2 linked regions of the Oreochromis niloticus genome follow. The protein of the gene in region 1 interacts with the protein of each later gene in a pairwise test. Links are inferred from orthologs where the notes say so. Each region holds a gene or a part of one and is shown in the gene's direction. Other genes may lie near its edges. The genes, in order: lg3h11orf68 and eif4h.

Region 1 (12,003 bases):
GCCGTCAAGGGCGTTTTGGTCAGCAGGCTGCAATGAAGAGTCTCTCTCTCTCCTCTGCTTACAGCAGCTGCCAGAAAAACAACTTAAGAATTTGAAAAATAACATTGAGTGTGTGTGTGTGTTAGAAGAGAATGAGAGAGTGTGTGAGTGTAGCGCTGAGAACGAGCTAAGAGTCATAATCTTCATCGTCGTCGTCGTCCCCGTTCTTGTGCGGTGCAGGGACTGTGGGAGGTGGAGCCATGCTCATCATGGAGGCGTGTGGGGCGAAGGCCACGGTGCCCGGGGGTTGCGTCGGAGCCATGTTGCCCATTGGGACCATGTTGGCCATGTGCATATACTGAGGGGGAGCGTTGGAGCTGTGGGGGCACAGGAACAGGTGTTAACCTCTGAGGAGTCATGTCAAACCAAGTGCATTTTATGCACAAGCTACCTTTTAAATTTAAACATTATTAGTCAAATTAACTGTGCACTAAAAATAATGGACTATTTTTAGAGTTAAATATCCAAAATGAATCTTGATATTTACAGGGAACTCCAGGTACAACTTACTCAACTTGAGGCCAGCAAAGGTTTGGCTATTGATTCTAGTAGGAAAAGAGCGCCCTCTTCCTGTTTTTGGCATAATGTCAGCCACCAGATTTCTCTCTTAACAGGCTGCAGTTACCAGTCATATAGAAATATGCCTTTATGTGCTCTTAATGTGAGACTATATAACTTTTTGAGAGAGAAAAAAAGTTTGCTTGTCTGGAGATTTTCTTACAAATGAAAAGACAAATAGCAGCACCTTAATGGGAGGCACAACACGAAAACAGAGCTGAAAGATTATGTAAAGTAAATTGAGTGTTTATTTCTTGAGATAAGACAGCTTTGAACTCGATTTGCTGCTGATGTAATTACCAACCAATTAGTGCTTCTTCAGACAAGTCTTAAAATGTCATCCCAGTCAAGTGAAAAACCTAGCCTAGTGAGAAATTGCTGATCTACTGGGCTTTTCCTGCACAATTCTCTCCGAGTTTACAGCGAACAGTCCATAATTAGAAGCTGTCCAGTTTGCAGGCAGTTCACTGGACGAAAATGTCTTAGTCAGAGGATAAGGGGCAGACTGCTTTGAGCTGATAAGAAGCAACAACAGCTCAAATAACCACTCGTTATTTGAGCGGACATCTCTGAATGCACAACACATCAAACCTTGAAGCAGATGGGCTACAGCAGAAGACCACACCAGGTGCTGTCAGCTAGAAAAGGAAACTGAGGCTACATTTCACACAGGCTCAACAAAATTGTACAATACAAATGGAAAAACATTGCCCTGATCAGTCTTGATTTCTGCTGTGATATTTGGATGGCAGAGTCAGAATTTGGTGTAAACAACATGAAAGCATCCTGGCTTGTATCTAAAGTTCATTCTGGTGCCATTTTTGTATGGGTGGGGGGTATTATATTGGTACACTTTGTGCTCCTTAGTACCAACTGAGCGTCATTACTAGAGTATTGTCACTAAGCATGTCCATCCCTTTATGGTCACAGCGTACCCATTTCTGATGGCTGCTTCCAGCAGAACAACGCAGCATGTCACAAAGCTCAAATCATCTCAAACTGGATTCTTGAACATGACAATGAGTCCAGTGTACTCAAATGGCCTCTACAGTCACTGCCAGTGGATGTGGGGGAATGGAAGATCACGGATATAGAGCCAAATCTGCAAAGTCGGTATCATTCTTTGATGTCAGTATGGACTAAAATCTCAAGAATGCTTCCAGCATTTTGATGAATCTACGCCACAAAGAATTTAGACTGATCTGAAGGAAAAATGGGGTTCAACCCAGTCATTTGTATCTAATAAACTGGCACGTGAGTGTAGAGTTGTATATGAGGGGGGGTGTCATATTGGGTTTTGAATATTATTATATCTGCTTGTAACAGTGCAATAATGGAATATAGCAATAGAAAATACTTGGAACAGTACTGCAGACATCCCAGACTCCACAAGCCTCTTAATTCTATTCTGTGTTGGCAAATTTGACCAAATTAATAAAGACTGAAATAAAACACATTTCCTACATTCTTGGTTACTTTTCCAAGTACACTATATGGTTATTTACCGTTTTTATTACCATTTTCAATATCACAACCTCAGTTCTCAAGTAAATCAGAATCACAAAGAGTAATTTGCTCTTCAAGCTCTGTAATCAGCAGACTGCAGAAAAGTGTAACCCTAACTGCACCGAGTGAATGGTTGAAGCATAAGTCTTGTGATTTGGCTAGTGGGAAAAGCCTCATACACGTCAGGTCCCTGCTAATCATTTCCCAAATTCATATCCATGGAATTTTTTAATTGTTGTTCCATGATTAGATGAGTCTTCTGTTTTTGCAATGATTTTATCAGATGATATAAGAATCAACTTAAAGTGCTAATTCTGCCAGCTGTGTTGTCTCACAGCTTGAGTGTAGATAAATTGGTGAAAGTGTGCTAGTATAGAATAAATGGGGACGGTATTCTGAAGAGCTTTGAATACTCAGAATACTGAAAACTAGAAATGTACTGTATAAATGCCAGTCCACACCACTCCATGTTGTTCCATAGCAGAGCTCACTCAGGGTGCCAGACCTAACTTGTTTAGTTTATTCTGTAATGTGTAGGTATGTAGACATGTTTATGTTGGACTAAATGTGCGTAAGTAACTACTTGCACCTTTTGCTGTATCGGTTTGCCCTCTTGTGGGTATCATGTAGTGTTTGAATGGCTCAAATGTGTGTGGGTTGTTTATAATGATTCAGCAGTTCTCATGAATTCTATACCATTTTCTGGGCTTCTACCTCCTTTGTCATATGCTGTAAATCACTTTACATCTTGGTATCAGAGAGTCTGTTTTGCAGAGGGAAGAGCAGTGCAAGAGTTTAAAAAACAAAAACAAAAAAACACGCCCTCCCTCTCTCCGAGTCTGCAGTCTGGGAGGATATTTCCAGACACACCGTCTCATGTGGATCTGGACACAAACCTGTGGAACCTGGATGGAGCCTGCAGATGTGTGCTGGACTGAGAGCCGTCCTCGTCGTCTCCGTCTGTCTCGCTGTCTTCACTGTCGTCCTGTTTCCATCACAAGGAAGACAACAGTGAGTCGTCTCCCCTCATACAGACAAACACAATAGACAGGTTCAGGCCTCTACATGTAAATCATCTCACACCTCCTGCTCCGACTCTGTTCCAGATAACTTCTTGTCCTTGCCTTTGGCGCCAGCACCTCCATTCTTGCGACCAGACCCTGGTTTTCGACCTCTGAGGAAGAAAAAAGAATAACCGTGTAAGGAAATGTGATAGTAGTTTAAAGTTTCAAAAGAACGTTTACGAGACAACACATGGAACAGAACATACACTTGGGCTATTATGGACGAGGGAACCAGAAATCATTTGTTTAACTTAGTGCACAAAAATGTTTTAAATGAAAAACATAGTATCTAATGACTTTTCAACTGCTTACAAACACATGTGGCTTTTTTAAAAGCAGAAATCCTCTCCTTGCAACTTTAAGATAACTCCAGAGGAGAACAGTGTGACGCATACTGCTGGTGAAAATTACTCTGAGGCACTTGCTGACACCAAATGTCTAAACATTACAAGTTTTACGACCACTTTGAATTGAATCTGAATCCAATCAGCCGCAGTCTTCAGAGAAAAGAAGCCTTCTCTTACTCATTTAATTCATGTCTAATTGCCCGCCAAGCTCTCCGCTACAAATTAGCTGTGGTGCCGGTGTCTGATCTGACAGTCAATACTGCATTTTCTTGTCTACAATTCCTCAATAATTAATTTTTGCTCTGGCCAACTCTTTCATTTTCTTCTGTTATTTTGGGGGAGATAATCTAGAATCACAAAACTAAAGGAACATAGGAGTACGGTAACACTGCAAGGATTATAGACATATCGCAGCTGTCGGTTCCAATTTACAGCAGTGCTCATTTCCAGAAGAGGAAAAGATAACGTGCACAGATTCTGTCTGTTCGTGCGAATCATTTTTAGTTTAAACCGATGTGCGTGTGTGCACTTATCAGAGCAGACTGAATTACAAACTGCTTAATGAAATAAGTCCAAATTATCTGCAGCTGGATTGGCTGCCTCATATCACCCTGGAGTGTTTTCACTGTGTATGTGAAATACTCCTTCGCTTTCAAAGCATCATGACTCTTTCTCTACATGTTTGGGTGTCTGTGTGAGCAAATATTACCTTCGTGGGACTTTCTCTCCTCCCCCCTCGGTGTGGTTCTCTTCCCCCTCTCCCTGCATGTCTGGCACCGCTGCAACAAGGTCTTTTAAAAAATCAAACTGCTGCTCCAGCTCAATGCATTGCTTTCTGTGAATAAATATGAACAGTTTTCTCCTCAGCCTTACTTGCCAAGTGAAATGTAAGCTCGTATCAAAAAGACAGCAAGCTTAATGGTGTACATACTCATTTTAGCAACACATACAGTCTGAGTCACAGGGAAAGATTGTTTTGGCGGGCTCTGTCTTACACAGGCCAGAAATACTTTCAGATACAAGGGATTCGGCAATGTGCTGCAAATGTGCTCCACAGCACTATCAGGCTCCCACCACACAGTAAATCATGCTGTGTAACAGGATGCCATTTTTTTTGCAAAAGCGGCTCATAATAATTTTCCTTACTTATTTATTTATTTATCTTTTTGCAATGTATAGGGCCAGTCCTTGTCAGTTCATCAAATGCTTTCTCACCTCACCATCTTACCTGAAAAAACATTCCAGGTGGAGGATACACATCCTAAATAGGAATCGTAGAAAGTTTCAGGTCCTGGCTGTTATTAGCTTTCTCAAAAATATTTCAAGGGATGATATTTCCAGGTTTTTAGACATTTTCCAATATCATTTTTGAGGGGCTATTTTAATATGACATTATCTACTTTAAAGTGTTTTAGGCAATTTTTTCTTAGGAAGATGAGAAAGAAAAAAAATTATGCTAGGGAATTATTCAAAAACACTCCTATTTTCAACATTTCACTGAGGATTATTTTCTTGAGTAAACTAATGACTGTGAAGACCTGAAATTTTGCACAATTCCCATTTTGTGAAATTTGATTGAATGAGATGAAAGAACTTTGTACTGTTAAAACTAATCAGAAGAAAACTGACTTAAAATAAGTGTATTGTGTATATTATGAATAATCGTTATTTTTAAATGTGAATCAAGCAAAGCTACTTTAGTAAAGTCCAAGAATGAAATTATCGAGCTGGAAGTTCACCATGAGTCCACTTTAAAAATAAAGAAAATAAAGGCCTGACAGCATTTCAGCCACACTCAATAAAAACAAATACAATTCTATATAAACAACTTTCCCCTTTTCTTCAACTACCTCTTTCTGACCCTAATATACCTGAACAGCATATATCTGAACAGCAGATGGCTTTGCCTTCCTAAGAAGTTCATCTCCAACACAATGCAACACAATGAAGACAAACACAGAACTTACAGATGTGCCGTTGTCATTGTCTTTGCATTCCTAGATTGGGTGACTTGACAAGCCTTTGTAAGCAACGACTCCAAAAAAAGCTCCAGGGCTCTCGCTGATATCTTGGATAAGGGAAGTACAGTGAAGCAGTTGTGTGTTTGAACTTTAAAATCATCAAACATGCAATAATAGACAACTTGACACAACAACACAACAGACTGAGGAAGCATTTTTCTCTAATTATTAATCAGTCTTTGACTTTTACAATTTATCATTCAAGACAAAACTTGCACAGTGACGACTGCAGGCAGAAAGGATACATATAATAACAGGCACTGCTGCAGCCACTTTGCCTATTTCTTCATCTGTCTGCATAATCTTCTTAATCCTTGCCTGAAATGAGAAAAGGTCGATTTTTATGCATGTGTCTACAGAAACGCTTAAAATTTTCTTTTCCTTAAAAAAAAAATCATTTTCAGTGAAAACGCACTGAAATTCAGGGACAACTTAGTAAAGAGTTTGCAGTACACCACATCGAATAATGTGAGGTCCCCACAAAGTAACGGCAATCATTCCTTTTACACTAGTCACGTAGTGTGAGGATTGTAGATACATTATGCAGCTTATTATAATAAAGAATGGATTTATTCACATTTATTTGCGTGCCGCTTAGCCTAGCTTGAGATGCTAAAAACAACGTCAATTAGTAGACCAACTTAAATAGCACGCCTGCTATGTGTGTACACCACCAACTAATGACATATAGGGGATGTTTGGTCACTAACTTCATGAAATCAACTACTTTTCACTAAGGCACGTGCTTTGTAAACTAAATGGTTTGCGAGTGTTAGATGGCTTGTCTGCTCTCTAAGCAACAAAAGAGGCCGAATTCCACTTAAGCTAGTTACAGAACTTAGCTTTCCATGTTACACTTTGCTAACGTTAGCTTGCTTTGACACCGGCTCAGCACAGTTTAAACTTACCGGAGGAAATCTGGCGTTGTATTTCTTCTTTTTGCTGGGCATAATTAAATTACCTGGGTGGCTAAACTAAACTAAAATACAATATATGCTATATTCGTATTCTATTTCATACAGAAATTCGCCTCCACCGCGCACACACCAGATAGTGGTGGCTATCCGGCTAACTAGTTAGCACGTCGTCTTCGTCACTCGTTCCTCGGTGCGGTCAGTTTGTTTCCGCAGGGTCTCCGTGCCGTCAGGTTGGAGCGCATGTTGTTCCGCAAATGCAAAGAAACGAAATACTTTAACGATAGTAATGGAACAGGTTTATTTTTTAAAGCTTAACAAACACAAACACTGATGTAGGAAACTTACATATTTAACATGTACACATACCGAGGAACATGCAAGTTTCTTAAAAGTCGCTGAATCTAGTACAACATAACTTATTTTTATAATTATGTTATAGCAAAACGTAAAAATATATATTTATATCATGTGTTCCATACGGTCGAATTTGTGGACGAGGTACGAAATTTAATTGATGTATAAATAATTATTAGTTAAACTGTCAGCCACCTGAGTGGACTTTGGCTCTTAGATACGGAGGAGCTGCTGTGCTTATGCGGAAGATCAACACTGAACAACAAACTTGGACATCTACGGGTAGAGTAAGCCTTTATGTTCAAAGTTTAACATCGACGTGCGATTATTTACGTTTTAAATGGGAAAACTGTGAATGTTAAAGCGTCAGTTGTATTCAACAGCTGGCTAGAAATGGTTAATGTTTCTCTAAAAGGACGAGCGTGTACATTTATAAAGACTAGCTTGTCGGCTAGCTACAACAAGGCTAAAGCAGTCAGAAAGCTGTTCTACGTGTTCTTTGACATGTCAGCTGTAGGCGGTACACTGGGGTCGATAGCAGCTTTAGTGTGAAACAGAATCAGTGGTAGAGAAACGCTAACTTTCGCTGTTGTAGCAGGCTAGCTATTAGCATTCATAAGCAATTCAGTTGTCCACTTCTGTCGAAGTTTGGCAGGGTTGTAAGCTAATAAATCACAGCAAAGGGGTTGTAAGCTAACACAGAGGCTAAACCAGTGGTTTTTATAAAAATAATAACTGCATTCTTCAACTCAACAGGAAGGCTTCAGAACTTGTTTACTCGTGTAACTGCTATACCATTATGGAGGAAGAAGAGGGCCCTGTTGATGGCGAGATGAGGACCCCCTTTGCTGCAGAGACCTACGCTGCTGAAGCCATGGCTGCAGACATGGACCCCTGGATTGTTTTTGACTCTAGAAGAACTCCCAGATCCGAGTTTGATGGCTGGTTGGAGAGTAACCGGCCCTCCCAAGTGTCCAGATTTGGAGACGAGGAGGGTGGCGTCAGCCCTGTGGGGTGGATTGCTGTGGTGGGCCCAAACCACTGCCCCAGTGGTGCGGATGTCACAGGACTCCAGGAGAGTTGGGAGAAACTTTTGGCGAGTTCCCGGCCTGTCACCTTCCAGACAGTGAGGGAGCTGGCCCTGAACCATAGGGTACTCTCAGGCAAGTGGCTTATGCACTTGGACACTGGTTTCAAGTTGGACCATGCTTGGGAATGTGTGGCCAGAGCAGCCCTAGATGGCAAGATCTCACTCGTTAAAGTCACCCCATTTGACCGCAAGGCAGAGGGCAAGCAGGTCATTTGTGCCTATAACCAGAACTTCACTGATGAGAATGAGGTCATAAGGCTGGATTCAGTCATTCGTGCCACAGGGGTCAAATGCCCTCTCTCCTACAAGCCAGATGTGTATACATACCTGGGAATCTATCGGAACAACCGCTGGAATGTTTGCCCCACCATATACGAGAGCAAGTTCGACCTGGAGTGTGTGCCCAGGCGTTCCCACATCATCAACAAAGTTACCAATCTTGAGGTAACATAAGCTACTCAGACCAAGAGAGGAGCTTTGCTGTAACAGTATGTGAAGAGGTGCGTGATGATCCCAGGAGATGGGTTGGACAGTACAGTCCTCTGCCTGCAACTATTTAGAACATCATTGGTTGAATTCTGATCACAAGTTCTTCCTTTTTTTTTTTTTTTTTAGAAAACCCCCCCACTAAATTTGTCTCTTTTTGTGTTGTAAAATTTTCTGAATGACCTGAAACACTTTGATTTTTTTGTATTGAAAATATTGTATACATAAGCAAGAATAGTAGTACTAACAAGATTCTAACAGGCTCGAGTGACGGGAAGAAGACTAACGTCCTTGATTTGTATGCACATTTTCAGAAGATCCAGTGAAGCACTCCTTGTTGCTATTTTACATTTGTCTCTTGCGTTCGGCTTTATTTTTTTTTCCTTTGTACTGTATAACAGTTACAGAGTTGCAAAGTAAAATATTCTTTTGAAAATCATCTTTATACGTTGTGGTATTTATTGCCAAAACAGTGTTTTGAATGTTGACAAAGTTAGTCTCATTCTCAAAAAAAAAAAAAGCACAATTATAGTACGATCCACTTTCATAATACATGTAAAAACATAATTACATTTCAGTAAAGCACCTTACTGCAGAGTATAGCAAGTCTGAAACAGTTGAGTTAAAATGCAGCCATTACTGATAAAATAAGTGTAGAAAAACTGATTACAGAGCAGTGGAAACTATTACCAGATAAAAAGCACAATCTCTAGTATAAGCACGTATATAGTAATGTTGCTTGTTTGATAAATGTACACCTTCATTTTGTTTCTAGAACATTCAGATAGTTTGTGTTAACCTTCAGAAAACAACGGTGCAATCCAAAGAGATGATTTTTAAGAACGGACATAATCTGTGTAGACTTACCTCTAGATCTGATTACATATATACGAACCCTTTTGTATAAAGACAAAAAAAGAGAAAAGCTGCACATTTTTGTGGCTACAGCTAGCAAAATTGTTCAAATAACAGTACAAAAACATGCTTAACATGTTCCAAAAATAATCACCACACCGGATACCTTTATCAAAGTACCCATGCTGTCTGTCTTCTTAAAACATTCGCTGGAGAATCTGTCTCCACCATCAATATGTTGACAGTGACCTAAACATTTAGTCACAGATGCTGGACATGGGTTTCACAGGGCATGAAATCTGATCACCTACATTATGGGTTTTGTAATTTATCAGACAAACTATATGACTGGGCAAGGCGTCAGACTGAATACCATAAAGTCATTGCTGGTATTTTAAGAAGTGTGTCCACAGTGAGCAGTGCTGCTACATTCGGTCTCCTGCCTACTTCCTTTTTTGCCTTACAATAATAAAGAAGTTTTAGTCCTGATGGCCACAGGGGAAGATACAACTGGTCTTTGGAAAAATGAAACAAACTTTAAGTCGGGTGTCCTGACACAAACCCAGCTTGGCTTCCACTGTTAAAAATGGAAATAAGACGGTCCTCATCTGCAGACATCAACTCATCGAAGTCTTCGAGCATTTGGTTGTTATTGGGTCTGCTGTCTGTCATGATTTCGTTCTGGAGCAGATGCACGATGCTGTTGGGGTAATTCATCCAAGTGCTTCCTGGAGTGCTGGCAGGGTCAGAAGTGTTCTGAGGTGCTGCACTAGTCTGGGCAGCGGTAGAGGAGGCTGAAGGGCCAGTCTGATGACATGAAGGATGATTTACACCAACAAGCTGGGGGTTCAGAAGATCCTCCAAGTCATCCATGTTGAGGCTGTCCAGGTTGACTGGGACCTGGCCTTCAGTGAAGCTAGGGAAATCTGGGATATCGTCATCCACAAGTGTTGGGTCCGCCCGGAACTGAGTGCTCTGGAGGGCGAAGGAGTTGCTTGTCTGTGAGGAGGCCAAGTTTATTTGAGAAGCTGAGGGCTCCTGCTGGGTGATAGTCGAGGAAATGTTGGGGAAGAATTCATGAAGATCTGACAGGTTGACCGTTGAGTAGTCCTGATTGGAAGTGGAAGCGATGGTAGAGGAGACGGTGGCCGGTGATGGGTTCATTGAAAAGCTAGACACTGGGTTTGCTTTTGGTTGGGAGCCCAGGCCTGTCATCTTCCACTGGTTGGTAGGAGCTGCTGACATGTTAGAGGCTTCTACCTTTGTCTGCTCTGAAAATAGCTGGCCAGGTTGGAAGTATTGGGTATGTGATTTTGCCCCAAGGGGACCAGTAGGCACCACAGCTGCTGCAAACACAAACAAGTGATTTGAGAACTCACTGCAGAAAATCCTTCTCACATATTTCACATACACAAAGTTCACCGCTAATGACTCAACTGCCTTAAGAAAGGAAGATGAGGAGATGTCTGTATGTCTTCAAATGAGTTCAAATAAGGAAGGAACATCTGAAACAGACTCACCAGCTTGTGGAGGCTTGGCTGTCAGCTTTCTCCTTGATGGGTTTAGGTGCTGTCTATCTTGTGGAGTGGTCACTGAAATGTCAGAAGACGTGTTTATAATACCGTGCAGTTACAACAGTGTAACCATTATCCAATTACACTATGCTCAGCTGACAGAAAAAAAAAAAATCTTATCAACGTACCACTAGATAGCAAGGGCCCTAGCTTCAGGTTCTGGAATATGTCTCCTGTCCGCTTTCTCTTCTCACTCAGCCTGTATTCATCTGCAGGGGTGGAAATGATAAAGTTTAAATTTGAGAAATGATACACATACTCAGTACATTTTCCCGCATATAATGTCTTTTACCTGGATCTGATGGCAGGTACTGGAAGTCCATTGGCTCACTGACTTCTCGATCAGAGGGCCGCCGGAGCTGCATCTTGACTCTCACTGGCTCAGTGAGGTTAGTGTCACGATAGGGCGGTGTGCGAAACACAATGGCCACCTGCCTGTGGACATCAGCCTGGGAGAAAGTGCCCTTCCCCTCCCAGGAGTCTTGGAAGAAACGCACCTCGATGTCCTCTGCAGGGGAACAGAAAATGGCAAATGTAACAACATACTGCAGCTGGTGATGAACTCAAAAAGAATAATCAGATAATCGGGCACTAACTCGCCAGCTTCGGTGCAAAAGCAGATCTGATGTTTTTGATTAACAGAGAAAAGACCCCGGGGGTGTTGCATCACATTTGCTGCCACGCAACACTCCAGTATAACAACAACTTAGAAGGCTCGCAGCCAGCTTCAGTTGTTAAACCTAAACTAAAAGGGTTTAATGTTCAAAGCAGATATGTGACAGCTCCGCTCACTGTGAAAATAGCTGTGTGACAGGCTCCCAGAGACAGCAGGACCAAGAGATGAACTAGTACAAAATTCAGCCTTCTCACAATCTTTTTTTGCAATGATGCAATGTGTATGCAGTTTAAGATGTATCAAATGGTACTCAGGGGAGCACCCACATCCAAAATACAAAGCATATATGCCTGCCATGATCAAACAGCAGCAGATAAGTGAGGGAAGAAAAAAAAAAAGGCTTTCACAATGAACATAAAGTGATCACTTTAAAAGAAACTGTTGTACAGAAACTTGAGAAAATAGAATTCTATTTTCAAAGGTAGTATGTGCAAACAGCAGCAGTTACAGCTTCTCATTAAGTTCTTAGGAAACTGGAAAAGAATGAGAAGAAGAAGAAAGCTTTTACTCAGTACA
Region 2 (12,440 bases), on another chromosome or scaffold:
TCAGCGGCTTCATCAACTTCACTCTGGCTACATCACCACTCAGCTACCAGCAACAGCACAACACATCCTGTAGGTAAGCATCTGCACCACAACACCACCACCAAGAACCACATGTCCATGGGCAGGCTGAGCCCGGTCAGACAGTCATGGACTTCATTTTAGCCCCAAAACAGTCATAGTCATAAGATCACACAAGACCAGGCATCTCAGCAGCTTTGAGATTGGGCTCAAAGGTGAAATGTCAAGTTTTCAAAGAAAGAACTTTGATTAGAGATCTAAAACACGATAGCAAAGTGTCCTGATTCTTTTAACTCAACGTCAGCAGCCACATCTTTAAATAAACGCACATAATTTTAACACTGAGACACAAGTGTGTGTCATACTTATTCATTTCAATTCAATTCAATTTTATTTATATAGCGCCAAATCACAACAAAAGTCGCCTCAAGGCGCTTCATATTGTACAGTAGATAGCACAGTGATGAGCACTTATGAGCTCATCACTGCCAGCTCAACACTTAATCTTTATTCATCCTCTTTGGTCATTAGCCACGTTATAGACTCTTCATATGACACATAATGGAACAGGAATATCATTTATTTGTAGGTGCACATTTCCCCTGACTAAGTAATGTTTGGGCTAAAACTGGGCTCTGTCTAACACAGGGGTGGCTGAATTACATTCAGCTAATGTGGGACTGAAAGTAGATTATATTAGACTTACTGGTCCCACATGATCACAACACACAGTGGTTGTCATGATCAGCGTTCGTGGACTGAATGGTCTGCGTCTCACCATGGAAGTCACGATGGACCTGCCCAAGGTCTGCAGGAACACCACAGGTGGTTAAACGGGTTTATATTGAAATGGGTGGAAGCCTTTTTTCTAGATGTGTGTTCAATGAGATCCAAAGACAATTCAGTTTTATTTATACAGCACCAAATCACAACAACAGTCGCCTCAAGGTGCTTTATATTGTAAGGTAGACCCTACAATAATACAGGGTGGGTCATTTATATGGATACACCGTAATAAAATGGGAATGGTTGGTGATATTAAAGTCCTGTTTGTGGCACATTAGTATATGTGAGGGGGCAAACTCCTCAAGATGGGCGGTGACCATGGTGGCCATTTAGAAGTCGGCCATCTTGGATACAACTTTTGTTTTTTCAATAGGAAGAGGGCCATGTGACACATCAAACTTATTGGTAATGTCACAAGAAAAACAATGGTGTGCTTGGTTTCAACGTAACTTTATTCTTTCATGAGTTATTTACAAGTTTCTGACCACTTATAAAATGTGTTCAATGTGCTGCCCATTGTGTTGGATTGTCAATCCAACCCTCTTCTCCCACTCTTCACACACTGATAGCAACACTGCAGGAGAAATGCCAGCACAGGCATCCAGTATCCGTAGTTTCAGGTGCTGCACATCTCGTATCTTCACACCATAGACAATTGCCTTCAGATGTCCCCAAAGATAAAAGTCTAAGGGGGTCAGATCGGGAGACCTTGGGGGCCATTCAACTGGCCCACGACGACCAATCCACTTTCCAGGAAACTGTTCATCTAGGAATGCTGGGACCTGGCACCCATAATGTGGTGGTGCACCATCTTGCTGGAAAAACTCAGGGAACGTGCCAGCTTCAGTGCATAAAGAGGGAAACACATCATCATGAAGCAATTTAAAATATCCAGTGGCCTTGAGGTTTCCATTGATGAAGAATGGACCCACTATCGTTGTACCCCATATACCACACCAAACCATCACTTTTGTTGTTCCAACAGTCTTCCAACAGTCTCCATCCAATGTGGGTTAGTGTCAGACCAATAGCGGTGGTTTTGTTTGTTAACTTCACCATTCACATAAAAGTTTGCCTCATCACTGAACAAAATCTTCTGCGTGAACTGAGGGTCCTGTTCCATTTTTTGTTTTGCCCATTCTGCAAATTCTGTGCGCCGATCTGGGTCATCCTCGTTGAGATGCTGCAGTAGCTGGAGTTTGTAAGGGTGCCATTTGTGAGTAGCTAATATCCGCCGAAGGGATGTTCGACTAATGCCACTCTCCAGTGACATGCGGAGAGTGCTACGCTGTGGGCTCTTGCTGAATGCAGCTAGGACAGCCACTGATGTTTCTTCATTAGTGACAGTTTTCTTGCATCCACATTTTGGTAAATCCAACACTGAACCAGTTTCATGAAACTTAGCAAGCAGTTTGCTGACTGTAGCATGGGAGATGGGTGGTCTCGTAGGGTGTCTTGCATTGGAATCTGCTGCAATGACCCGGTTACTGCGTTCACCAGATATCAACACAATTTCGATCCACTCCTCACGTGTTAACCTCTTCGACATGTCAATGGCTGTGAACAAAGAGAAACTTGTAAATAACTCATGAAAGAATAAAGTTACATTGAAACCAAGCACACCATTGTTTTTCTTGTGACATTACCAATAAGTTTGATGTGTCACATGGCCCTCTTCCTATTGAAAAAACAAAAGTTGTATCCAAGATGGCCGACTTCTAAATGGCCACCATGGTCACCACCCATCTTGAGGAGTTTGCCCCCTCACATATACTAATGTGCCACAAACAGGACTTTGATATCACCAACCATTCCCATTTTATTACGGTGTATCCATATAAATGGCCCACCCTGTACATACAGAGAAAACCCAACAATCATATGACCCCCTATGAGCAAGCACTTTGGCAACAGTGGGAAGGAAAAACTCCCTTTTAACAGGAAGAAACCTCCAGCAAAACCAGGGGCGGCTCGGTTGGGGTGAGATGAGGAAGACAGGACAAAGACACGCTGTGGAAGAGAGCCAGCAGACAACTTTTTATGTTTGTATTTGACAACCTAATCTTGACGTCATTTCGACATCTGTGACGTCACCTTTCATTTAACATTTGGTTGGTAGGAACAAAATCCTGAAAACAAATTCACTGTTGCTGTTGAAGTTTCGAGTGCTGTAGATGAACCAGAGAGCCTTCCAAACTCTGTCAAGTGTCTAAATGTTTACTGCAGCTCATTTTATTTATTCTGTAAATTTAAAATGCTGGTGGTGCCATAATGTAGTGGTTTACAGTGCTCCGCCGTTAAATCCCAGCAGGAGAGACAGAGGCTTTTGGGTTTGTGTCCGAAACGTATCGGGAGTGAAACTGTGCCACGTGAAAGAAGAAGCTACCTGCTGTGGATGAGTAGCACAGTACCTACTGCAGGTGATCGATGTGTGGTTATCTTACACAGGTATCGTGGTTTCAGGGATGAAAACGGTGAATACCTGCCAGAGTACTTCCACCTCCTCGCTATACAGCTTGGTTTCGTCATCATCTTCGAGGTCAGTGTCTCTCAGACTTCACTGAACCCCAAGCAGCTTGTGAACTGCTGATCGGCAGTCCGCACATTGAAGACTTGTCCCATTTTTCTTCCTCAGCACGTGGTCTTCTTCATCGGCCGCTTAATAGATTTGATGGTTCCTGATGTGTCCGAAGAGGTGGAGATGAAGATAAAGAGGGAGCACTACATGGCTAAAGAGGCTCTGGCTGAGAACCAGGTATCGAAGTTAACAGACTGTCACATGATGGTTTGTCTCACAGTTTGGTTTGCCACAGTTTAGTATCGTGTTCTATGCCTGCAGTCTCTGGGAAAGACCATGATTCCTGGGAATGGGGAAGCCCCGCCCAGTGAACTGCGACAGCGTAGATCCAGAATCTCTCCACAGGAGAGCGACCCACCGTCACCGAACCTGGAGGAGATCGCAGAGGAGACTGAAGCAATATTCAGCTCCTAAGACAAAGCTCAGGTGGACTTGGGCTACCTCTACAGCACCCAACGCTCGTTTTTAACCACTCACTGCTTTTCACTGTGCCTGTCATCAAATAACTTAACTTTTTAACTGTAACGTACTATTTTCAAAACTTGCCATGTTTGTTGTAATTGAAGTTTCTGAGTTAAATGCTAAATGTTGCTCAGCAGCTGGTAACCTGATGGGAGGCAGTTAGCGAGAGCGCTGTAACATGAGCTGGGCTGTTTCATGTAATGAACATTTGGATATCTGTTACACATAAACCTATACATATCCAAACACTTTATGGGTGATTACAGAAACATAATCATCAGTGTTGGCATGAATTTCACTGTGGATGAGGTAACTTCTCTCACACTGTAGCTGAATGTGCTGTTTATGTGTATTTGAGTGCTTAGTCAGATATCTTGTGTAGTTTAGCTTCTACTGCTGAAAGGTTTTAGTCTATTTTCTAATAAAAATTCATGGCCAAGAAGATTTACATTATTTTTGGTATTTTCCATTTTTTCAGGTTATTGTTTGTTGTTCTGTCTAAAACTGTGTAAGCTCAGCATGAGGACCACTGATGGGAGTGGTGATTAGATGTTCAACCATATCCTCCTGCAGAAGAACGGGGCCCAACAGCAGCTACCTCCATCAGCAGAACAGATCCCCACAAAAAATATTTGAGGAACGTTTTTCAGATACTAGTGTGGTCAAACTTTTGCACGATTGGATCTGCTTCCAATATTCCAGTGCCAGATCTGACTGGACAGCCCCAGAGGGCGACATGAAGGGGCCTGAACGACCCATCATTTACCACGTGTTTCCCAGACATGGATTAAGCCCATTCCTAAAGTAACAGAAAAGTTCAATCTCCACTGAAAACAATTTTAGTCTGAAAAAAGGCTCAACCCAAGCCCAGAGAACTGAGCCATAATTTTACAACGTTATACTGCACTAAACGTGTATTACAAAGTAAAGTCTAAACAGATATCTTAACTGTCACTGTTTTAATCCAATTCCATTTTATTTATATTGCACCAACAACACAACAACAGTTGTCCCAAGGCACTTTATAATGTAAGTTAAAGCTCTACAGTAATAGTAATTTGAGAAAACCCCAATAAACAGACGCACCCTTGTGAGTGAGCACTTTGGCGACAGTGGGGAGGAAAAACTCAGTTTTATCAAGAAGAAACCTCCGGCAGAACCAGGCTCAGGGAGGGGCGGCTCCCTGTTTTCTTTCCTGGCTGGAATGATTTCACAGCATGTTTAATCATTTTTAAAAACAAGTTTATTTGGTGTTTTCCTCCATTCACACAGGGTCATAATATACGTGCACCTGTCTGGATATTTGAACGCTCTTCTTGGCAGAAATGGCAGGGTTAATTTAAATTAGTTGGTTTTCTGTTACAGACCCAGCTTTAAAGTCCACAAATTCTTGACAGGGTTGAGGTCGGGGCTTTGGGAAAGCCATTTCAGAAGCTAAATGTTGGCCTGCTTTGTCCAAAACCAGTTCCGATGAGTCATCGTCACAAACCAACTGTGTCAGAGTTTCTACCGTCTAGCTGTTAGTTTGAGGTGAAGGTGAAGAATTTGGAGATAGTCCTCCTCCTTCATTATACCATCCCCTGTGTGCAGTCTACCAGAACCACTGGCAGCAAACAGCCCCACAGCGTGACGCTACCACCCTCGTGCTTGACAGTCGGTACAGTGTTCTTAGGTTTGAAGGCCTTACCTTTACTCCTCCAAACATTCTTCTTGTTATTTTGACCAAACAGCTCAGTCTTTGTCCTTCGTTCTTTGACCATCAGTCTTTTCTCCAGAAGTATTTGATTCGTCCATGTGGGCAGCTGCAAATTTCAGTCGAGCTTGCAGGTGTTGATGTTAGAGCGGGGGCTTGTTTCTGGGTCAGCATCCTCTCAGTCCATGATGATGTAAAACTGGGTGTCCACCTTTCTGCAGGCTTGCCCCTGAACATCCTACCCAGTTTCCTCTCAATGGAGGGTGACAAGTTCGGATATTCTTCCAGATCTTGGCAAAGTGTTGAAACATCAGAATAACTTACATACAAATGTCCTGGAGTCTGCAGCTGTTCAGAAATTACTCCTAAAGACTTTCTTAACTTGTATAAATCTGCAGTTGTCCTTCTTAGACCTTCACAATGTTCCCTGAACTTTCTCACTAGACAGAAGTTAAGACTTCAGCACCATTTATTAAAGTATTTGTCTGACTTTGCACCTGTGTGGAACAGAGAAAATACATTTAAAGATGTGTAGTGTACAATCATTCCAGCCTGGGAAAAGAACTGGCCAAATAAATCATTAAAAGTCCAAAATTACTCCGACATTACAATGAAAGGATAAAGACGTCTGACCACAACTGTAGATGCTTTATTCATATCACTACACCAAAAATACAGTATTGCTTATGAACAGAAAGACTTTTGAAAAAAGGATCTTTTGTCTCAAAGACCTTGTGTGTTTTATCAGTTTCTCAGACAGAGAAGCATCTGGGCTAACATTTTGTAAATGACGTGAGGGACAGACAGAGCTGTGGTGAGGTGTGGCCACATGATTTAAACGGAGTCAGTGGTGTCATCCAAAGACAACAATGGGCCAAACATTTATTGGCTTCAGGATTATGACATTTTAACAACTGTTTCTATTGTTTACTTTGTATTTTCCATTCATTTTAACAATTCAATTTAGTTTCGTGTGTTTTCCACGTTCGTGCTGTGTTTTCATTACTTATATTATAAATATTTCATTTCAAACTGACTTAAAAAAAAACATAATTAGTAAAAAAGAAGTTAGTGTGTGATTTTACCGGTCAGGCGCTCTGCGGGCAGCTAAACCCGCTGTGTGTGTGACGTGTAGGACCTCCTCCTCCAACACACAAGCAGCAGTAATGGCGGACTACGACAACTACGATGAACGGGACCGGGCCTACGGCAGCTTCGGCGGCGGCAGAGGGTGAGTTTCCACCGCGCACGGCAGCTATGTCGTGTCCTCGAAGAACAAACCCGACCGGACCGTCGCCGTGTTTCCCGCTGCTGTCCGCCCCGAGTCAGGGGAGCAGGCTGTCTAGGCCCCGGAGCTCGACACGCCCCGCGGTTACTGAACAGGCCGAGCATGCGTGAGGGTATCCCGGAGATATCAGCCGGGAAACACCGCGGTCTCGTAGCTAACATGCTAACGGTTAGCGAGCGGCTAGCTAGATGGAGACAGTAAGAACAGGCTCTCCAGTGTGGCGTGGATCGCCCCGCAGCTTGGCGGTACAGATACCCACTCAGCGTGTGTGGTTGTGAGGCGGTGGGGCGACCGGCGGGGAAGGAGGCCGCAGCAGGTTCAGGTGGAGGCGGTGGCGGAGCTGCAGGCTGCCCGCATGGCTGCATCATGTGTCCCCTGCTGCACATTCATCCACGTCGCAGTCAGAGCTGAGAGTGGGAGTCGGTTAGAGCCGGTAGATGCGGTTACCGTCAGGTCAGCGGTTGTTTTCCGCTCTGTGGCACTGCATGTTGTTATCTGATTGCTGATAAACGATAAAAAATAAAAAAAAAACAGTGTTTTTTTTTCGTGGAGGGAGGGGGCTTCGGGATGTCTGCAGCACACAAAGCTTTAATATCAGCACAGGCAGGAGTCACCTGTGAGAAGATCGGACTGATGTTCTCTCCTTTATCACAGACTTCATGAACGGATTATCAGAATTCTTTTCTTTTTTTTCTTTTTTTTTTTTTTGCCGAAAGTTTGCTGAGATTAATTTTTGGTCGATTAATTGTTTCAGCACGTCTTTATTTCTGTTTCTTCGGGAGCACCGAATCAAATTTTAATCAAAGTTTAGAGACTGATGAAGAGTTACGGGGCTGCTTTTCTTCATCAGTTGTTCTGTCAGGAGCTGAATCTGATGAGAGGGGAAAACGTTGGGGCTGAAGTCTATATTTTAGGAGTGGAGGGAATTCCCCTCATTGCATGCTTCCATTGGAGCAGGGGAGGCTGTAGAGTTTGAAGGAGTCTGGGCAGATTGAGTGGCTGACCCCTGCAAAGACAATACATCAAACAGAAACCAGACTGAACTGGGTGAAGGTAATATCCGGTAAATCAAACTGTCCTAGCTTCTGCTTGAGCATCTTCTCAGAGCACCGAGGTCCATGTCGGCACATGTTGAAGTCTGTCTGTGTTTGAAACAGTAGGGGGTGCTGTAGTCCTGCAGGGAGGGAGCAGAGCTCCAGATGTTGATTGTTCTTCTGGTCGCTCTGCACCGCTGTCCTGAACGTTATTGGACCTCTGTCTGTGGGGCTTTTTTGTAATACAAGTGAAAGATTTATGTATAACTCTTTTTAGGACGATCTCCTGATGGCTCCAAAATGAGGCAGAGCGGACTGTGAGTGCATGAAGCTTTGTTTGAGGGTGTTAGACGGCTGATTTCAGATCTGAATCCAGACTGTTGCTTCAAGAGGTTAGCAGCTGGCTCCATGTCAGTAGGTCAGACTTTTACTGGTTCATAAAGAAGCTAAATAGAATCTATAAGAACCAAACGTCTATTATTAGATTTATGTTGTTTATATTAAATCTGTATCTGGGAAAACGAGTCCCAGTTTCCAGATATCCCATTTATTTTGAAGCCAAAGCTAGTAGAAGGTGTGGTGTTCTGCATGTGGCTGGCATGTCTGCTACTGGGAGATGCTGCTGCTGCTGGCAGCCTGTAACAAAGCCTCCAACAAGTCATTTAAAGCTTCATCAGTTTCTCTGCTGTTGCTGTGTTTAAGGAGAAAAGGTGGTGTGTGGGAGCAGCACAAATCTTTGCTTCAGTTTAAACGACTCCTGCAGGCAGTTTAAGGTAACACTTTTGGCGTGTGAATGTGGAAACACTGTGAGAGAAATCTAAGGAGCTTGGGGGCGAGCTTCTTGGATGAGAGGTGAACCGTCTTCAAGCAACTTAAAGAAGTCCAGACGCTTTTCTTTCCAAGCTCCTTAGACTACGATGACCTGGATGACTGAGAACCTTCACAGACACTGTGAGAGAAAACTGCTCCACGGTGAGGGTCTGTTTCAGCTTGACAGGGGAACCCTGTCTGAAATACTTTATTACTTTATTATTATACTTTATTACAAAGGTCATCAGGTCATCACTCATGTTCAGGGCTTTTTGTGGTGGTTGCGTAATATAAAGTGTTGCAGCACTCACTTCAAAGATGCTGTGTTAGGACGAATGCTGGAGGCTGATAGTGGGCCTGTGGGGGTGGGCGGTCCTTCTGTGGTCAGGCCAAACAGTCCGAGAAAGCCTCAGTTTGATCAAACCACAACACTTCAAACAGTGCCGGTGCTTTTCCTTTGCCAGCATGTTTTATATGCAACGCCTGATTTTAGCTGCGCGTCTGTATCATAGCAACAACAACCGGTCAGCGATGGATGCAAATCCAACTCCAAATAGCAGCGAGCAGGAGCCAAGCTGGCTGACTTTGTTCATGTAGAGCAGGCTGACGCGCTGCAGTGATCAGCTCCTACATTTAAACCCCAAACTGCACTTTCAGAGCTCCTCTGGCTGTGTTCCTGCTTCATCAGAGCTCCATCAGTGATCCAGGAGCAGCGATCCAGGTGCAGGGTGGAGCAGCACACAGCAGAGCGATAACCAAGTGGCTCAGAGTTTTGAATCGGATTTGTGGTTTATAATTGTTTCAAAGTTTGAGTGGCTACAGAGGATTAAACCAGCTGCTCTGAAACACACAGATCTACACTGGCAGGCATGCGGTAGCATGTCGAGCAGATGGAAATATTCTCTCATTTTTGGAGTTCTTTACCCGATAAGAACCCAACAGGACACACATTTACCGGCATCATAAACACACCACTCCCGACCTTTGAAGCGTCATAATTTCCAGTTATGAGTCCTTGATTATTTTTGTTGTTCAGTTGGTGGAAATCTGCAGATTTACCCGTTATAATAATAAGTTAGAGCAATAATTCCTATAAATGGATATAAAACTGAAGATGTGCACTTACATTACATATCACACATTCAACATGTCCCAGACCGCTGTTTGCTTCCACTAATGGGTTTGCAGAAATCACAAAAAACCACTCCAGACGCACGCTTTGTGATCTGATCAGCTGTTCCTGCACTTCCTACGTTGGAGCATACGTCATAACGTTGTGAGCATCAACTGTCGTGTGGTTTCATGTGCGCCTTTAGCTGTGAAAACAGGAAGTGATGTCATTTTTGCAGGAACTGTAGTTTCTTTTTTCCTCCACCAAAGCCTATCAAAGCTCCACTGGTGCTGTTGAAAAGTGGAACACTGGAAACAGTTTATTTTGATGCACGTGCTGTCTGTTAGTCAGTTTATAAAAATGAGTCTCAAAAATGAAATTATGAAGACTCACATATTTCCTGTGGTTGGAAACTATTGTGTGCAACTTTTCTTTCTTACAGTTTTGATATTTCTTATTGGTTTATTCCACTTATTAAATAATGTGTGTAATTACAGTGGACATTTTACAGACATTATTAAAGTTTGACATATAAGGGTTGTATTGATGCATAGCAACTTGAAATGCTTTAAAAATGTGTGTAAAATGTAAAGTTAAGATCTGGTGGATTTGTGAGATTATTGAGATTATTTCTGATCATTCATCAAACTACAGTATTTGGATATCAGCTGATCGTTTTTCCTTTCAGACAGATTTCCAACATTTGTCATATGTAGTAATTTATTTACTTGTTTACACTCAGGATGTTTCTCCGGTCTCTTTTTTTAATCTTCATTTATTGATCATTTTCATTAACGAGATCGACAGAGAGCCAGTATCGTCCGACTGCATCGTCTGATTTGTCAGGCTGTCCTTCCGTTTCACGAAACGACCGTGAACGAGCGACCGAGCTCATAAAGTCATTGGGAACGCATCACGGGGCCGAGGGCAGCTTTTAGGTGTTTCTGTCCCCGCCACTTCCTGTTTAGGCTCTTAAGCGAGCACTCCCAGTTTGGAAGACCAGTGAACTTATCGTGTGGAAAGTTGTCTTTAACTCTGCTCCAGTCTGAGCTCTATATCCCACAATCCTCTTTACTTGTGTACCTGTCTGACGATCCTCTGTCCCCCCTCCCATCAGGCCCCGTGGCGGCAGCGGTCCCGGAGGCCCCAGGAAGCAGAAGGAGCTGCCGACAGAGCCTCCGTTCACGGCGTACGTGGGAAACCTGCCATTCAACACGGTGCAGGGAGACATCGACATCATCTTCAAAGAGCTCAACATCCGCAGCGTCCGATTGGTCAGAGACAAAGAGACAGACAAGTTCAAAGGTTCGGATGGGGTGTGGGTGTCGGGGATGATGAAGTTCGCCTCGGGTGAAACTTCCTGTCTGACTGTTTGCATCTCTTTCAGGTTTTTGTTATGTTGAATTTGATGATTTGGAATCTCTAAAAGAAGCTTTGACATACGACGGCGCCGTGAGTATCTGATTTAATAAACCCGACGTTTTCTGGTTCTGCCACGCTGCCGTCTTGTCTGACAGGAACTCTGACCTCCAGTTATTAGGTGAAAGGTCACTGAGGGTGGACATCGCAGAGGGACGAAGGCAAGAACGAGGCGGCGGCGGCTTCGGCTTCAGGAAAGACGACGGTAGAGGTACGAGCAGAGAAGAAGAGTGCTAACGTGGTAGGAAGGTTTAAATCCTAGAGAACATGACACGTGCTTTTAGAAACGGGAAAGCTCTGAGGTGCTCCTCAGTGACCTGGAGCGGCTAAAATAGTTTTCACCAAATTTTTCACCAAAACATTTTTCTGCAGCTGATTTGCCCATAAATCATCAGTGTTCTGCTAGTCTGTGCTGATTGGTCAGTTAAGGATGCAGGACAGGGCATCCCCGCTCGATGGCGCCCGTTCCCAAACGATAGCTCCAGCAGACGTTAGTAGAAGCTTCAAGTGTTTGTTGGTGTTTCCTCTGATTTATTGTCCAGTGCTCATCTGGGGGCTGCTGCTGTTGTAATTTAGCACTTTATGAATAAAGTTGAACAAGTTAAGCTACCAGGAGGCGGGGTCTGCTCGCGACACGCCCCAAACTGTAATGTATCAGGGAGGTCATGTGGTGCTGGGACTGTTCCTAACCATGTTTCCTTGATCAAGGCCAAGAAAAGGTGGTTAGGATAAGTGATGAGGGCGTAGGAAAAGGGAGGAGAGGTCCTGACGTGTGCTGGAGGCGCCGTCTGGAAGCGGGCGCCGGTTGAATCTGATTCAGATTTAAGTCCAGCCTTCAAGGAAACGCAGACGAAGCATGTTTGATGTTGCCCTGTGACTCTGAGGAGGAGGACTTTTCATCTTTCATGCTTCATTTCTTCATCCTCACCTCCACAGACACGTCCCCTTTTCCTTTCACCTCCCTGCTGGTCATAGTCACCTGCAGTTAGGTGGAGGCCACCTGACGCCTCCTCCTGCTGACCTTTCACCTTCTTCGGTGTTCAGAGTGCTGCTGCTGCTTCTCTCTAACCCGATTGGCTGATGGACCACTAACAAGCTCCGCCTCTCTAGTGTAGCCCCTCCCAGCAGGAGGTGCTGCCACCTCCTCTGTTTTCTTTCATTTCAATTCCTCTCCTCCTCTCCCCCCTCCCCCCTCAGTGTTAAACTGCCCCGTGTCCTCTGCAGGACGAGGAGGCTCTCGA

Evidence for each region.
Region 2: the proteins of lg3h11orf68 (region 1) and eif4h interact in binary tests that used the Homo sapiens proteins (3 or more experiments, as listed by UniProt). The two-hybrid records come from large-scale screens. The link is inferred for Oreochromis niloticus from reciprocal best matches to the Homo sapiens genes C11orf68 and EIF4H.

What each region holds. Positions count from the first base shown.
Region 1 is NC_031967.2:4,877,517-4,889,519, reverse strand, and holds lg3h11orf68 (UPF0696 protein C11orf68 homolog), read left to right. Parts: upstream 1-6,934; 5' UTR 6,935-7,088; exon of another isoform or gene 7,089-7,093; intron 7,094-7,562; 5' UTR 7,563-7,605; coding exon 7,606-8,349; 3' UTR 8,350-8,821; downstream 8,822-12,003. Other genes in the region: drap1 (dr1-associated corepressor), read right to left, coding at 167-356, 3,000-3,088, 3,187-3,277, 4,224-4,349, 5,482-5,575, 5,781-5,853, 6,444-6,485; rela (transcription factor p65), read right to left, coding at 9,775-10,583, 10,758-10,829, 10,940-11,020, 11,104-11,319.
Region 2 is NC_031979.2:40,135,800-40,148,239, reverse strand, and holds the start of eif4h (eukaryotic translation initiation factor 4H), read left to right. Parts: upstream 1-6,611; 5' UTR 6,612-6,703; coding exon 6,704-6,768; intron 6,769-10,897; coding exon 10,898-11,085; intron 11,086-11,167; coding exon 11,168-11,232; intron 11,233-11,313; coding exon 11,314-11,410; intron 11,411-12,423; coding exon 12,424-12,440. UniProt on the Homo sapiens protein: Stimulates the RNA helicase activity of EIF4A in the translation initiation complex. Binds weakly mRNA.